Nothobranchius furzeri: one gene and its partner. The protein of the gene in region 1 interacts with the protein of each later gene in a biochemical or structural test. Links are inferred from orthologs where the notes say so. Each region holds a gene or a part of one and is shown in the gene's direction. Other genes may lie near its edges.

Region 1 (7,892 bases):
GTCACGACACAAAATACTGTGATATTTCAGTGTATCAATATTTTCTTCCACCCCAATGATGAGGCACCCTTTTGTTCCTTACACATTGCCTTTTCAGTATGGATATCCGTCTGGATGTTTCCCCTCAAAATGATTGTTGTGTTTTCAAAGTGTTGCTTTAAATTGTTTGAGCAGTGTGTAACTACTACAAAGGTTGTTTACAGTACACATTATCTTTGATGGCTTGTGATAAATCACACTTCCTACAATTTATTATTTTACATAATCCATCTATTGTTGTAACGTGGAGAGGGAGGAAGAGGATGGGAAGTGGGGTGATCCACAAGCAGCTAACACATTGTGAGGTGATTTTCTTTCCCTTTACCATGACTGTTTGTGTATGCAGGTGTACCACTGTGCATGGAATAAACGAGCAAACCGTAAAACAAAGACTATAAACTGAGAAAAGTGTATTTATTAATACTTTTGTGTGCTGATGTGCACAGAACTAGGTTATATCTTATTCTTCAGCAGAAAAAAGCAACATAGTCCTAAACAACTCAAAGCAGGACAAAAGTCTATTGTTTTCTGGACATTTGACAGGTCCCAGACAGGAAAACACATTAAAGGGAACTTTACAGATTTCACACGGTGACGGTGGCACAGGTTAGGTGCTCGCCCCGTAATTGGAAGGTTGCAGGTTTGAGCCCTGCTCAGTTTGTCACTGCCATTGTGTCATTGGGCAAGACCCTTAACCCCCCTTGCCTGATTGTGGTGGTCGGAGGGGCCGGTGGCGCCAGTGCTCAGCAGCCTCGCTTCTGTCGGAGTGCCCCAGGGCAGCTGTGGCTACATCGTAGCTCATCTCCACCTGGGTGTGAATGGGTGAATGACTGATTGTGTTGTAAAGCGCCTCGTGTGTGTGTGTGTGTGTGTGTGGTGGTGGTGGTGGGGGGGGGGGGGGGGTCCAGGAATCTAAAAGGCCCTATATCAAATACAGGCCATGCACCATTCAGTGTGCAGAAGATCCAAAAAACAAGACTGCCTGAGTTATGATGTGTGTGTGTTTCCTACTTCCTATAAAAACCAGGAGCATCTTCCTCATACTGGTAAACTGAACCTATAAATGAATTTCATTGATCTGTGTTTTACCACATGAAGGTGCTGCGTGGAAATAAAATCACCAAGTTTTGAACTCCATGCTGATGGTCTTTACACTTACCAACGCAGAGGATGTTAAAGCAGAAGCCACGGTTGACAGACTTGTTGACCAACTGGTCAGGCATGCTATCAAAACCAACATGGCCGGCCAGAGGCACAGCCCGAACTCCTTCACCCTGAAAAACAAAAGAAATCAACAACAACTATCAGTTAATTGGTCTCTTTACAATGATAGGTTTTGTCTGGGTGCAATTTCAGAACAAGATTAAGACGCACTTAAAAAAAGCCCCATGATGGAGCCATGTTTTCCACCAGAGATTGTTAAGAGAATAAGCCTGAGTTCAGGTGAAGTCATTCACTTCCTGTTTTCTCAGCAGCAGCTCTCTTCCGTCAGACGGTTCAAAACCACTGTGTACATATATGGAAAGACACTGCTGTTCATGTCTAGATAAGAAAGATCCAAGCAAATGTAATAAAAACTCATTTAATGATGATTAAAAGCTTAAGAGCCAGCTCTGTGACTGGGATTAGATGAATCTTCCGCTATACTTTTAAACACACACATCAAAAATAAAAAAAAGGGTCAACGTGCTGCTGTTAAAAGTGTGTGGGGGTGTTTAGCTGGTAGTAAGCATCCCGATCGCTGTGATTCTCGTTTCTACTGCCTACATTTATATCAAGAGCTACAGGGAAGCAAAGAATTTACGTTGGATGCCAGAAGCAAAAGCTCTCCACCAGCTGAACCTCAGACAACCGGCTATTATGTGGCTTAGCATAACAGTGTTGTTGTCCAATTTGACAAAGACTTTGAGCGAAAAATACTCTGTAAATTTAAAATACCCAAACATTCTGGTGTCACTGAACAGTCGTGGAATATTCTGAAGCTGGGTTTGAACAGCTGAGGACCTGAAGAAATCTGGGACTAATGTAACTGAACAAACAGCCTGTTTAATGTTGAGAATGCAAGCACAACATTCCTGAAATCATCCTCGCTTTTCATGACGCTCACAGCCAAGAAGCACACAGCCGGTTTCATTCATTGAGCCACAATGGGGTATCAAACTGCACTATCTTGCTATTCTAAGAACTCCCTCTGGGTTAAGTGGCTTCCTTTCCCCACTTAAAAAACAAGCTTGGATAACAAGGAGTGTGTAAAATCCCCTTTCCTCTCCAAAACAAGTCTTGAACTCTTGTCTTTGTTTTGCAAGCAATCAAGACAACGCCTGTGTGAAAGTTAACGGGTTCCTAAATAAAACACGGTAACGGAAATGAGCACCGAGGTTGTGCTGAAACGGGGGCTTTCAGAATGAATGGCCTACCGATCGATCTGTGTGGATCCGTCATTTTTAACGATCCAGCACCTACTAAACTCAATTAAACATTTAAAATCACACAATGTGCCATTTCGCCATGCATTTGTTTCAAATAAACACCACATGAAATCTAAGGGCATTTGCAAATGCAATGCTAAAGCTGTTTCACCGGAAAGGTAAATGCACGAGGTGATGCGCCTTGATTTAACATCATCAGACGAAGAGCATTTTAGATGCATAATTTGTTATCTAAAAACACGATTTATTATAAACAGACTCTAAATTAGCAACGCAATGGTGAATTTCGAATGTGAACACGGGTGTTAGCAAGCTAACCGACTCCAAAATAACCCGTTACACAAATAAGTTGAAACGATTCCCAGCATATCGAAGATGTAATAAATGCATACAATGGATTTTAGAGTCAAACAGACTACTTACGGCTTGCCTTGCTATCTCAGTTGACGCCATGGTGAGTGTTAGTAGCCGGAGGACGAACCCACTGTCGCTCTGACTTCAGCAAAGGAAGCTGCGCCGCTACGCTGAAACCTGGCCTGCTTGAAATGTACCATTTTATCAAAGTATGTCGCATTTCTTATAAAGGTAGTAGCTGAACTTCCAATGACAATACATATGTATCTGTTAAAACCGATGACTTCTATTAACAGAAGCGGCTTCTAAATGATGGCAGAAGACATAAAATAACACATAAAGAAAGTCCCCCATCGAATGCTTTAATGGTTTCGTCTGATATGAATGGTAGTGAGCAGATGTGATGTAACTTGATAAAATAAAGAAGCACACAGACACACATAACATCCTGAAACAAATTAGTTTAGTTTATAGTAGTGGCCGACAATTTTGTAAAGCATGTGTAGCCATGAGCGTAAATAAATCAGGTGTTACGACTCACAATTAATCTTCAATGCTAACAACACTTAGTAGGCGACGCCTATTTTAGTCACGTGCGTGATATTGGCCAATAGGAAGGATGCCGTGAATTTAAAATTGGCTCGCGGTCGTTCGTTCGTACACAGTTTCTTAACCTCAACCGAGTGAGCAGCACGGTCAGGTCGAGTCTACTGAGTTAGAGGTTGTGTTTCGTAGAGGTGAGTTATCAAAGAGAGCAGTTCAAGTTAAATTTATAGTTTATTTTCTTTGAATGGGTCAAGATAATATCCATAAACCCGCGAACGATTAAGACGTTATACAGCGCTAGCATATAAGCTAACATTTGATTGTTTTGTTTTTTTAAATATCTGTTTAGCGGTCAAAAAACCGTTGTTAACGTTTGTATGTCAGTGTTCGGGAAAAGTTTAAAAAATAAACACTTGTCAAAAATTTCTGATAGGTTTGATTGGTACTCAGGTGATCTGTTTTCAGTAAATAAAGGTGACTAACTTGAAATAAAATGTATATTTTGGGATTGGATAAGTGTTCTATAAAATAATTGCTAAAGGCTTCAAACTAGATATTTAAAGTAGTTTAAAACAAATAAGCTTGTATTAAATTAATTTAGGATTTGGCTAAATCTGTTTTGCCTTTTTCCCCCACTGCTGAAAGTTTACAAAGCTCACTTTTAGCTTTGCTGTTTTGAAAAACGTTTTTGCATTTTGGTGCAGAATATAACGTTTGCATGTGTTTGTCAGATAAAAATGGCAAACATCCTTGCAGAGCAAGAAAATGCTGGTCTTCATGTGCCTTCGCTGAAGATGCGACAGCGACTTCAGTCTGCTCCAGGTATTCTGAACTGAATATTTTTCCTATGTTAGCAGGTGATGTTGGATGTGAGTTCACATTTTTTTTATTTTTCTACCAGAGAAACTTCTGAATTCAGAGGCAGCTAAATCTGTTAAAACACCTCTGCCATTTGGTCGTAAAGCTTTTGGAGCTGTGAACAAGGTTTTGACCCCAGCAGTCTCTGCACAGGAGAAGACTCTATTGAAGCCACAGGTTGGGTTCTGGACAGTCTTCAGTTCACGCATAAAAAAATATTTTGACAAAGTATTATTTGCATCTTTTTGTATGAAGTTCAAATCACAGCTAAGATGCCATACTAAACTAAAAGTTCAGGGGTCTAATTTATCAAATATTGCGTAGAATCCTTAATAAAACTGTACTTAAGCTCAGCAAAAAAAATGTACTTGTTGCTTATTCTGTGTGAGCACAAAGTGGTACAAGTGATAATGCTGCTGGAATTAATAATTTTATCATTCTCAGCAGCAGCACTGCAGGTGCTCTCCATGTCCAGAATGTGCGTAAGCAAGGTCCTTGGTCAACTTAAAGTTGTGCACATTTTTCCGCTAAGTTCTTTCATAAATCCCAAAGTTTGCGTGGAAAGTTGCTTACGCAGTTTTCCGACCCCGTTTTGTGCGTAAGCAAGCTTGATAAATGAGGCCCCAGATCTTTGCCATCCATTTCTCTTTACCTTGTTGTACCAAGTCAATGTTTTGTTTTGTTTTTGTTTCAATAGGAAAACAAAGTCGAGCCTGCTCCTCAAACCAAAATTGAGGAATATCCAGAAATTGAGAAGTTTATCCCGTATGACCCCTTGGGTAAATTGAGTTTGACTTTTATTCAGTTGCCTAAAACAATACATTTCAGTGAAGTCGATACTTATTTCCCCCTCAATTGCAAACTATTATACACACAGTGTATAATAGTTTGCAAAAGATGGCTGATGTAGAAATATCAAGCTTCTAGGTACGAGTTCCCCGCATTGTTGCCACTAAATAAAAATTCCTGCTCAAAATAATTGCTCAGATTTTTAGTTTACAAACTCAATAGATTTCCACCAGCATCTGACTTAAGCTGGTCATTATTAAAGTTGAGCATCTATACACTGCAAAAGAGGCTCCAACACACGTGATCTAATTTCCTTCCTATAGAAACTTTAGACAAGTTTAATGTTCTATATTGCTTTGTCTTGTGCTCGGAGGACTGTTTTCTGCATGTTTTAAACAAGGTTCTAATGTTTCCCAGAGTTTGAGAGGTACAGCGTCCCTGAGGACTTGATCCCTCTTAGCTGCTTGGCACTTCCTGGTTTGGCCTGTTTTCCCACAACTCTTTCTAAGCTGTGTGAGGAGGATTTGACAGAGATGGCTCCACTTCCAGACTTGTCACCCATAAAGATGCCAAAATATTCAGGTATGCACTTAATATTTACTCTTAACTGTTTGCATTTATGCTTCATAGTTACTAAGTTGATTTCTAACTCAACTTTCTAAAAGGCAGACCACTGATGATGGCTTAGCCCACCTGATAGAAACTCTTGACTTTAAATGTCTGAATATGACTCTTTAATTCCTGAACTGTTCATCTTCCCTCGTGGCATAATGATGGATAATCTGGCAATTTTGTGAAACTCTTTCAAACAATGATTGTCGAGCTAAGCATTAACAGACAACATACTCTAATGGTAACTGTCTTCCTTGAGGGCCAGTATCCAGCATGTTTTAGTTGTTTCCCTGTTCCAACACATGATTTTAATCAGCAGGAGCTTGGTGAGCTGCTGAACAAGTGAATCAACAAAAACATGAGTGGTAGTACTCTGGGACCAGGCTTGCCTACGCCTGCTCTCATTCAACACACTTCAATCACCTGTCATCAAGCTCTGCAGAAGCCTGTTAATCACCTGCTGATTAAAATCAGGCACATTGAAGCAGGGAAACTAGTAAAACGTACCGGCCCACGGGGAAGGGAGTTTGGATCACTGATATGCATCCCAGTGTTTCCCTTACATAGGCGTAGCCGTGGCGGCCCACCATGGCTAAAATCCCACTGCCACGCCTACAAGGTCCCAAGTTTTATTTCTTTATTTATTTTTTGCGCCGTTTCCCGAAGAAGCAGCAGGAACTACTGTGTTGTTGCTTGTGATCACAGCTGGCAGGCAGCAAGGAGGAGGCAGGGTGGTTACAGCTAGGGATGAGTGTACGGATAAAGCATTTTTGACTAATACGAGTGTAAAACTCGTAAATATCTGTAATCGTGCTGAAGGAAAATCCTCATTGGGTAACTGTCTTTACGCTCTGTGGTTGGCCAGACACATAGAGCGCCCGCCCCTCCCTACACACAACTCTGCAGCTGAGACGGGAGCTCAGTCCGCTCGGCCCAGGCATCCACGCACACACAGACCGTAACGGATCTGTGCTTGCTTCACTGTTGTTCACGTTTCTTCGGTACTCCTTAGGTTTTCTTCAGCTCGCCTCTTTCAGTTCAATATTTAAATTTACTTTTTTCGTAACTTACATGGTGCATTTGACAAGACGGAGCGAAAAACTGCTCGTGCATGCGTTGGTCACTGCCTCTGCTCCGGTCAGGTTTTTTAAATTTATATTTACACTCTTCTCCCTCTCTCACACACCTTGATCAACATTGTTTTGTTTAACTGTGTATAGGGAAAAATGCCAACAATGTTGGGAAACAAATCAGTTTAATCAAATTAAAATTTAAAAAAGTTGTGTCTGGTTCTAGTATTTCATATATCCTAGTTCCTACTGCATGAGTTCAGATGTATTAATTCATGCACTTGAATAATATTCTGATTTTACTGAAACTGGTTCTGTAATAGTTCCTTTACTATTGTGATCAAAAATATTTAATCTCAATTCTGAGGCTGCTCTGTAAATAGTTTTAAAATAAACACACATAGCAACTTCTGATCAATCCATATCAATTTCAGACTTAAAATAATGTATTGATGTAAACCACACACACTAATTTCCAAATAAGATGCATTAATCTGTATCTCCTTTGATCTGCATTAGTGATATTTTTAGCACCAGAACAGTGAAGCAAAGAAACAGATTCCTGAGTTTGTTAGTAATTTTATTTATTAGGTGCATCTGACCTGTTCTATTCTCTGAAATGAGATAAAATCAGTGCTTCTATGGGTTGTCTCCTCTCTGCACTAGAAACATGTACTTTATTTTAATGTTCACTGTAATGCATCTTGATCTTAACAAATGAATAACATCAAAGATATTGGTCAAGGCCAAATATGTAAATTTGTTTCGGTCATTGAAAGCACATGAAACTATGAATTCACCACAGATTATTGGCCAGCTGAGATGGATCATCTGAGTCATAAAAGCAGAACCTTTGAACAGGGTAATCTGTGGCTGTGAGGTAAATGTTGGGTGTAGCTTTGTGATTTAAGACTTATTTAAATCAGTGTGTAGCACTCTGTAATGATAGATGTGTGCAGTAGCTAATTGAAGCCTGAGTCTGGAGCACATCATTAACCATACTGTCTTCATTTTCAGATGAGCGTTTGGAGCTGGAGGATTTCCTACAAACACTTGATGAGCTGACAGAGCTTCCTCCAGAGCCTGTTGACTTTTAGTGTGTTTTGTTTTTTTTGGTGTGTTTGTCATTTTATTCAAATAAAGTTGTTTTACCTACTGTTCCTAATCTGCCATGCATCACTTAATGATTAGCAAA
Region 2 (6,785 bases), on another chromosome or scaffold:
CGGCAGGAGGCCCCCGGGTCGACCTAGGACACGTTGGAGAGATTACATCTCCAATCTGGTCCGGGAACGCCTCGGGATCCTGCCGGAGGTGGCCGGGGAGAGGACGGTCTGGAGCTCCCTAGTTGGGATGCTGCCCCCGCGACCCAGACCCGGATAAGCGGAGGAAGACGACGAGACAACGACAGCGGCTTTCAGTGACAGTGTGACATTGATCCTTCAGACTTTTATCCTAGAGTCTATTTTCTATCAGAAGCTAATGCGGAATTTAGGTATCAGAGACTATTTTCATGTTCAGCCTGCATAAAAAGCTCAAGAGTGGCCCATTAAAATCAGAAATAGGATTTAAAAAATGTTTTTCAGTGCTCCATAGAAAACAATATAGAAGTATAGGACGATATAGAACAAATGCATATTGATAAAAATCACTCGTATCCATCAATAATTAATTTTATTTTTGAGAAACATAATTCCCCCCTCCCCCACTTACCCATAATGCTTACTGTGTATGTGTCTACATAGAAACTACTATTGTATATAGGGTCTTGTCTCATTTTATCTTTTATTTTTGTATTCTTGGTCACTTTTATACTCCTTTACCATCAGTCCTGAGCTGTGGTAATGCACAGATTTTCCCACTGTGGGATCAATGCAGTCTTATGACAGGAAATGACTTTATACCATCTTGTTTTTACTCATCTCCTCACTTCTCTGTAGCGCTGTTTATTTCTTTCCTCCTCCCTGCAAACAGTCAACGTCGCATGGATGTGCAGATCACGTCTATATTGAGTCTATCCGTCCGTCCAGACCACGTCTCAATATAGAACTTTTAAAATAATTTGTAAAAAAGTGATTCAGAATCACTTTTGGCTCCTCAAACAAGCAACAAGCTTTAAAACCGTTTCAGTTTCCAGCTGAATGAATCAAAGAAATCCAAACTGTGACAAAATATTTACCAACTTTGATAAATCTATGAACACAACACACAGTTTATGACTCAGTGAAATAAAAACAACATGAAGGTTGAACCAGAGGATAAAAAGAACTCAGAGATAAAGAACATATAATTAGTTGTGTTTATGTGTAGATATGTAGAAAATAAAACACAGCATCTATTAACCAACCCACCTCTTTACTGGATATGTCCGACGGAACCCGTGTTCCTTCTTGACGATAATCTTCATGATAATCATACGAGGGGGGGTTGTCCATCCTCTCTCTATCGACATAAGTCTGTTTGATATGTAGATATTTAATTAACAGTTTATTAAAATTCAACATTAAACAGTTATTAACCTGATGCAAAACACTGAAATGTGTGACTAACCTTTATAAAGTGATCTGGTGAACGAGTCCTCTCCCGAGGATGTTCCTGTCTCCTTTTGCCATCAGAACGCTTTAAAACGTTTCTGTCGCTTAAATCTTCCTGTCGTTTTTCCTGCGCTAACTCGTCCCGCCAATTCCTGGATCTGAAATCTGAAGGTGACCTCCTGTATCTGAAGTCGTCTTTACGTGAAGGTGCGTGTTTGAAATCCTTGGACTTTTGATGATGTGAGAAACTATCTCCTAGCAGCTGGTCAAAAGACTCATGTCCATATCGACCATCACTGTCGTCATCCTCTGTGTACCTTCGACTTCTCTTTTCAGGTGCATCCCACACAGATGAGGAGGACACACGTCTTCTCACTGGACTCATTCTGGTCCGGTCTCTGTTTGGTGAATCTTTACTGGCCCATATGCTCGGAGAGTCGATGTACTCTCGACTTCTGCTCCCCATCTTGGTGCTGCTGAGTCCATCTCCCCGATAGGAGTCCCGTGGGATTTGGGCTTCAAACTTTCCTTCCCATCTGCTGTTACTGTTGTTCCGCTTTCTCCAACTTCTATCACCTTCATGCTTCTTGTACTCAGACCAGTTTGAGTACATCTTTTCACAGCGACACCAACAACTGAAAGCAAAGCAAAAACCTGATGAAACAATGTGAGCAAGAGCTTTTGAGCTATTTACATAAACAAACACATTGGAATCCTTCCATGATTCAGATCTTAATAGATTTAACAAACTTAATCCAACTAGTGATGGTCAGATTAAGTGTCTGGATCGTTAGATTTTCGTATTAGCCAAGACTTTATGATTGATCTGGGCGGAATTAATCTGATATAAGTAGATCGGTCAAATAATGCAGATGCATCCTTAACTTCAAGGGAACAAGACATATTTAGCCTTTTTAGGGCCCCGATTCTTAGCGTGTTGTAAATGCTAACTGGCGTAACCAGTCTCAAACTAAACTCATATTGTTAAGCAGCTTTTGATGCCTCTGGTCCCTTCTGGCCCGTTACTAGGCCAGCTAGCTAAATTGATTTTACTCTGATGACTTGTACAATTACTGAACTCACTTAGATATGCATTTCCTAGACGTAATAAGACAGACTATTGAGCGTTTTGCTAAAACCTTATCTCATCAGTGTTTGGTTAGTTGACGACAACAACGAGCTAAGACAAAAACGTCCTCCTTACCTTATTTTTATCTGCTGGACAAATATCCTTCTTTAAAGTGTCTCCTATTAAGATAAAAATTAAAGAAAAAACAAACAACTAAAGCAAGTTGGGTGACTTATATTACCACTCAGAATGAACGGCTAGCTCAACGGTTATCATTTAGAAGCATGCTGAAGCTAACCACAGGGCCTGTTTTCTGCCTCCTGGTTAAACTGTGGCCCCCTTCTGGGTGGAGGAGGAATAACACAAAATTCAAACTACAATAAAACGATCAGATTGAATGAATGGATTAACCTGATGATGACAGGTTTAAGGAATTCTAATGTATTGGTGTAAATGTTGAGGTGTTATGGTTGTCCTTACTGATTACAGCTTTGAGGTATTTTTATTTCTAAAAACAGATTAAAGACAACAAAATCACTAAACTAAAATGGCAAATGTATTCTTAAAACGTATAATGGACTTTGGCACGCATCAAAATTTAAAGATGGGTTCATTAAAGTCTCTAAAATTAGGTATTATTGATAAAATCACAAATGCTGCCAACTTTTCAAAAATATTTCATATTTAATTTTTTATTTATAGCTATTGTAACTTTATAATATAGTTCCCTCCTCATTTATTCATGCGTCTTCTCCTTAACACAAATAATCCGAAAAGGCCAAAAACAGCTTCAATAAATGTCTTCTAAACAGAACCAAAATGTAGTTGCAACTGTTCGCCACTGGAGGGCGGCAATAGCTCATTTTATTCATATAAAGTCAATTAAAACTGCGCTTGTCGCGCCGTAGCTAGCTGAGTTTAGCTATTATCATTTTAAGCAATTATATTTGTAGGAAATTTCTTAATTATGTTATTTAAAAAATCTGGGTCCTTTCTAGCAAGGGGATTACAGATGGGTTAGTACCACAATTAAGTTTCCTCAAGGCTCAGGAAAATGTGATCGCTCATTTGTCAAATGTACATAAATTATGTGTTATTGAATTAAGTATATTTTCTGAGATGTTATTCCTCCATGCCAACATGTCTTTGCATGTCTGCAAATAAAACACCGCAGAGTAGCAGGTGAGAATTACTTTTTCTAAAGAGGGACATATTTCGTTGTAACACCGGATGACAGAAGTAGAAGAATGCTAAGCTAGTTAATTTGATTCTAAGTGTGTGCATTTACTTTAATGAACATACGTTTTTACTGTTGTTGCAAATCATTAAGGCTCATTGGTAGCTGCTCCGTGAACTGTGGTAAATATTTCAATCTGGAAAAAGTGCATTTGGTGGCGATCAATGCAGCTTCTGTGAGACGAACGCCAACCCCGGAAGTAACGGGACACAGCCTTACGTTGCAGAAAACAAATCTTTTTCAAAGTTGTATTTTACTGCTATTGGATGTCGGAAGGAAGAAACTGAATAACTCGCGGACCTGAAGTGCGGTTTGAGGATGAAAGTTAAGATCAGGCAGTGGAACGGGGTGGCCTCCTGGTTGTGGGTGGCCAACGACGAAAACTGCGGGATCTGCAGGATGTCCTTCAACGGCTGCTGCCCGGAGTGTGAGTAACCGAGCTGGGATGGGTTCTGGTTCGAAAGTAGCACCAAATCCGATGTCCTAAAATTAGATTTTAAATGTCCAGAACTAGAATAGGATGCCTTACATTAGCTTAAAACTATTGTTACAGAGCTGCTGAAAGGAAAATGTTTCAGGGTATGTTTGCTGTTAAGGGTGATCCTGCCCTAATGAGATCTGGAAGGCTAACTGAGGCCTACAACGATCTATTTTATTCTATTTAGGTACATCTGAGTGACAAAGGATTACAAAACATCCTTCATCTTTTGGATCAGTAGAAGAACAAACTGTAAAATGTTACTACAGCACCTTAAGAAAGGTCTTATGAATGTTTGTTGTCTGCATCTCATATCTCAAAAACAGCATAGGTTGCTGGTTTAGCTTGTGGACAAGCATACAATGCTGGTCCAGCATCCCATGCTAGACTAGCATTACATGGTGGAGCATCTTACCAGTACCAGTACAAAAGCACAACATATGCTGGAAACCAAACCAGCTGTGCTGTATTTTTCAGCAGGTTCTCTTCAACCTTTTACAGTGACTATTAATAAAATGTAATTAAAGTCTCATTTTGCAGGTAAAGTTCCTGGAGATGACTGCCCACTGGTCTGGGGTCAGTGTTCCCACTGTTTCCACATGCACTGCATCCTGAAATGGCTGAACTCACAGCAGGTGCAGCAGCAGTGTCCGATGTGCCGCCAGGAATGGAAGTTTAAGGAGTGAATCTGTTCATCTGTTTGCAGAATTCCCACATTTTTATCCCAGCTGTAAATAACAAGAGTTGTATTCGTCTACACTGATGCACAATTTTTCTGTTAAGTTTGTGATTAAATCTAAACAAATGAATTATGCTGTTGTGCTGTTGATTTACTGCTGCATCAGACTGATTCAAACTGCAATTCTTTTCAATTAGTTGATGTTTGTGTTTAAAAAAAAGGGGGAAATGGTCAAATAAAGGACAAAAACATAAGTTTTATACAGCAGTATCTAAAGGGTCCGCTGAAAAAAATATTCATCATAGATTTGACACTGCAGGACCAGAAAGGTACTTGGAGAGCAAGTCACCCCCAAATTAACTTTCTTTTCTGATGAACTATATTCAATTCAAAAATACTTTATTAATCCCAGAGGGAAATTAGAGTTTCTGTACACACTAGGGCCCGACTGATATATCGGCCGGCCGATATTGGGGTATTGGCCTAAAAGACGGCTGATGTGGCCGATATTGCGCTACCTATCCAGCAGATGGCACCAGCTTTATGAACTCGTGTTGTGTGTCTCCACTCCTTTGAACTTTGAACACAAATTATTGTTTTGGAACTTATTTATTTATTTATTCTTATTTATGTTTCTTATGTGCAATTATTTACTGTCCAGGGTGAATAAGTTCACCAAGTTAACTTCCACTGAGTGTTACTTTGTTACAAAGCACACGTATTACGTTATATTTATTGCTGCATTTTTATTATTTTAACATTCTTATAGGGATCTTCTGTCCCTAAACTTGTGTGTGTTGTTAGATTCCCCAGAGTTAGCTAAGTCAGAAAAAACATTTTGTAAACAGTCGTTTTAGCATAAAGCAATGGAAGGGAAGGCTTGCATTCACCTACATTAAAAAAACAATGTATGTGAATGCACTTACATTGTTTTATGCTAAACTAAGAAAACCAGCTGCAACCAGATCATATTGGGCTGGTTATAAAATGCTTTTTCTGACTTTAACTCTGGGGAATCTTAACAAGACACAATTTTACTGAGTGGTGGAATATTCCTTTAAGTTAAAATGTATTTGTGGAAACCACAGTTTACAAGAAAAAACTTGAATGTTAGATTTATGCTGTGACTGAGTTTGTGTGTTCTGTTGTTTTTGAGATCTGCTAAATAAATCTTATTTGCATTACTTGGAAACCCTAGTGAGTTATTGAGACAGTTCTTTGGTGTGTAATAGAGAAGTAAGTTTGCAACAAGGTTTAAGCTTAAGAAAATAATTTTTTCTTTTTTTTTTTGTGAGGGAGATTTATCGGCCATTATATCGGCTATCGGCCTTTGTTAAAAGTTTTATATCGGTATCGGTCCCAAAAAAGCATATCGGTCGGGCACTAGTATACACAATTCTGAGATCAGACATACATACATAGACACATGACAAGAATTGGTGACTGTGGTCATTCGCAGCCCAAGTCGCGCTACAGTAATAGATCAGGAGGGTTCATATGAGGATAGAGTCAGGGGGAGGGGAAAAAAAGGCACTTCAGAGTTACCCTCCACAGAGGGGACAGCTTTGCTATGCAAAAATACACCTCAGACAGAAATGCACACTGACTTCAGACATTATTCAACATAAGTGTCCACTAGGTGGGGAGGTAGGGTTGGGACTTTCCTCACTTCAGTGCGTGCAGCCGCATGGGGCAGCGCTCGTCACCTCCATTTGGACAGGGGAGGGAGATAATGGGTTAGAGGGCACAGTGACTCCTAGATACGGTTCCACGGCCTTCACCGGTCACAGTCCCGCCCAGGCTGGGATAGGGAGAAAGAGTTTCCATAGTGACGGCAGCATTCCACATTTCTTCTGAGGGGGAGTTATCACTTCAGCCTCACAGGCTCCAAGGGCACCAGATTCATAAAAAAAATTGTTTTGGGGACAGACAGAGAATAATTTCCTCTTTGCCTTAGTGTTTTGTTGGTCTTCAACCCCTCTAGATCCAACAATGGCATAATTAATCCATCCCA

The links.
Region 2: of the proteins of pttg1 (region 1) and anapc11, one has a biochemical effect on the other in vitro, tested with the Homo sapiens proteins (3 studies listed by BioGRID). The link is inferred for Nothobranchius furzeri from reciprocal best matches to the Homo sapiens genes PTTG1 and ANAPC11.

What each region holds. Positions count from the first base shown.
Region 1 is NC_091741.1:85,724,386-85,732,277, reverse strand, and holds pttg1 (securin), read left to right. Parts: upstream 1-3,460; 5' UTR 3,461-3,559; intron 3,560-4,099; 5' UTR 4,100-4,105; coding exon 4,106-4,190; intron 4,191-4,269; coding exon 4,270-4,403; intron 4,404-4,923; coding exon 4,924-5,005; intron 5,006-5,432; coding exon 5,433-5,597; intron 5,598-7,714; coding exon 7,715-7,794; 3' UTR 7,795-7,857; downstream 7,858-7,892. Other genes in the region: septin6 (septin-6), read right to left, coding at 1,199-1,313, 2,892-2,921. UniProt on the Homo sapiens protein: Regulatory protein, which plays a central role in chromosome stability, in the p53/TP53 pathway, and DNA repair. Probably acts by blocking the action of key proteins.
Region 2 is NC_091744.1:6,778,206-6,784,990, forward strand, and holds anapc11 (anaphase-promoting complex subunit 11), read left to right. Parts: upstream 1-3,582; 5' UTR 3,583-3,932; coding exon 3,933-4,041; intron 4,042-4,632; coding exon 4,633-4,778; 3' UTR 4,779-4,901; downstream 4,902-6,785. UniProt on the Homo sapiens protein: Together with the cullin protein ANAPC2, constitutes the catalytic component of the anaphase promoting complex/cyclosome (APC/C), a cell cycle-regulated E3 ubiquitin ligase that controls progression through mitosis and the G1 phase of the cell cycle.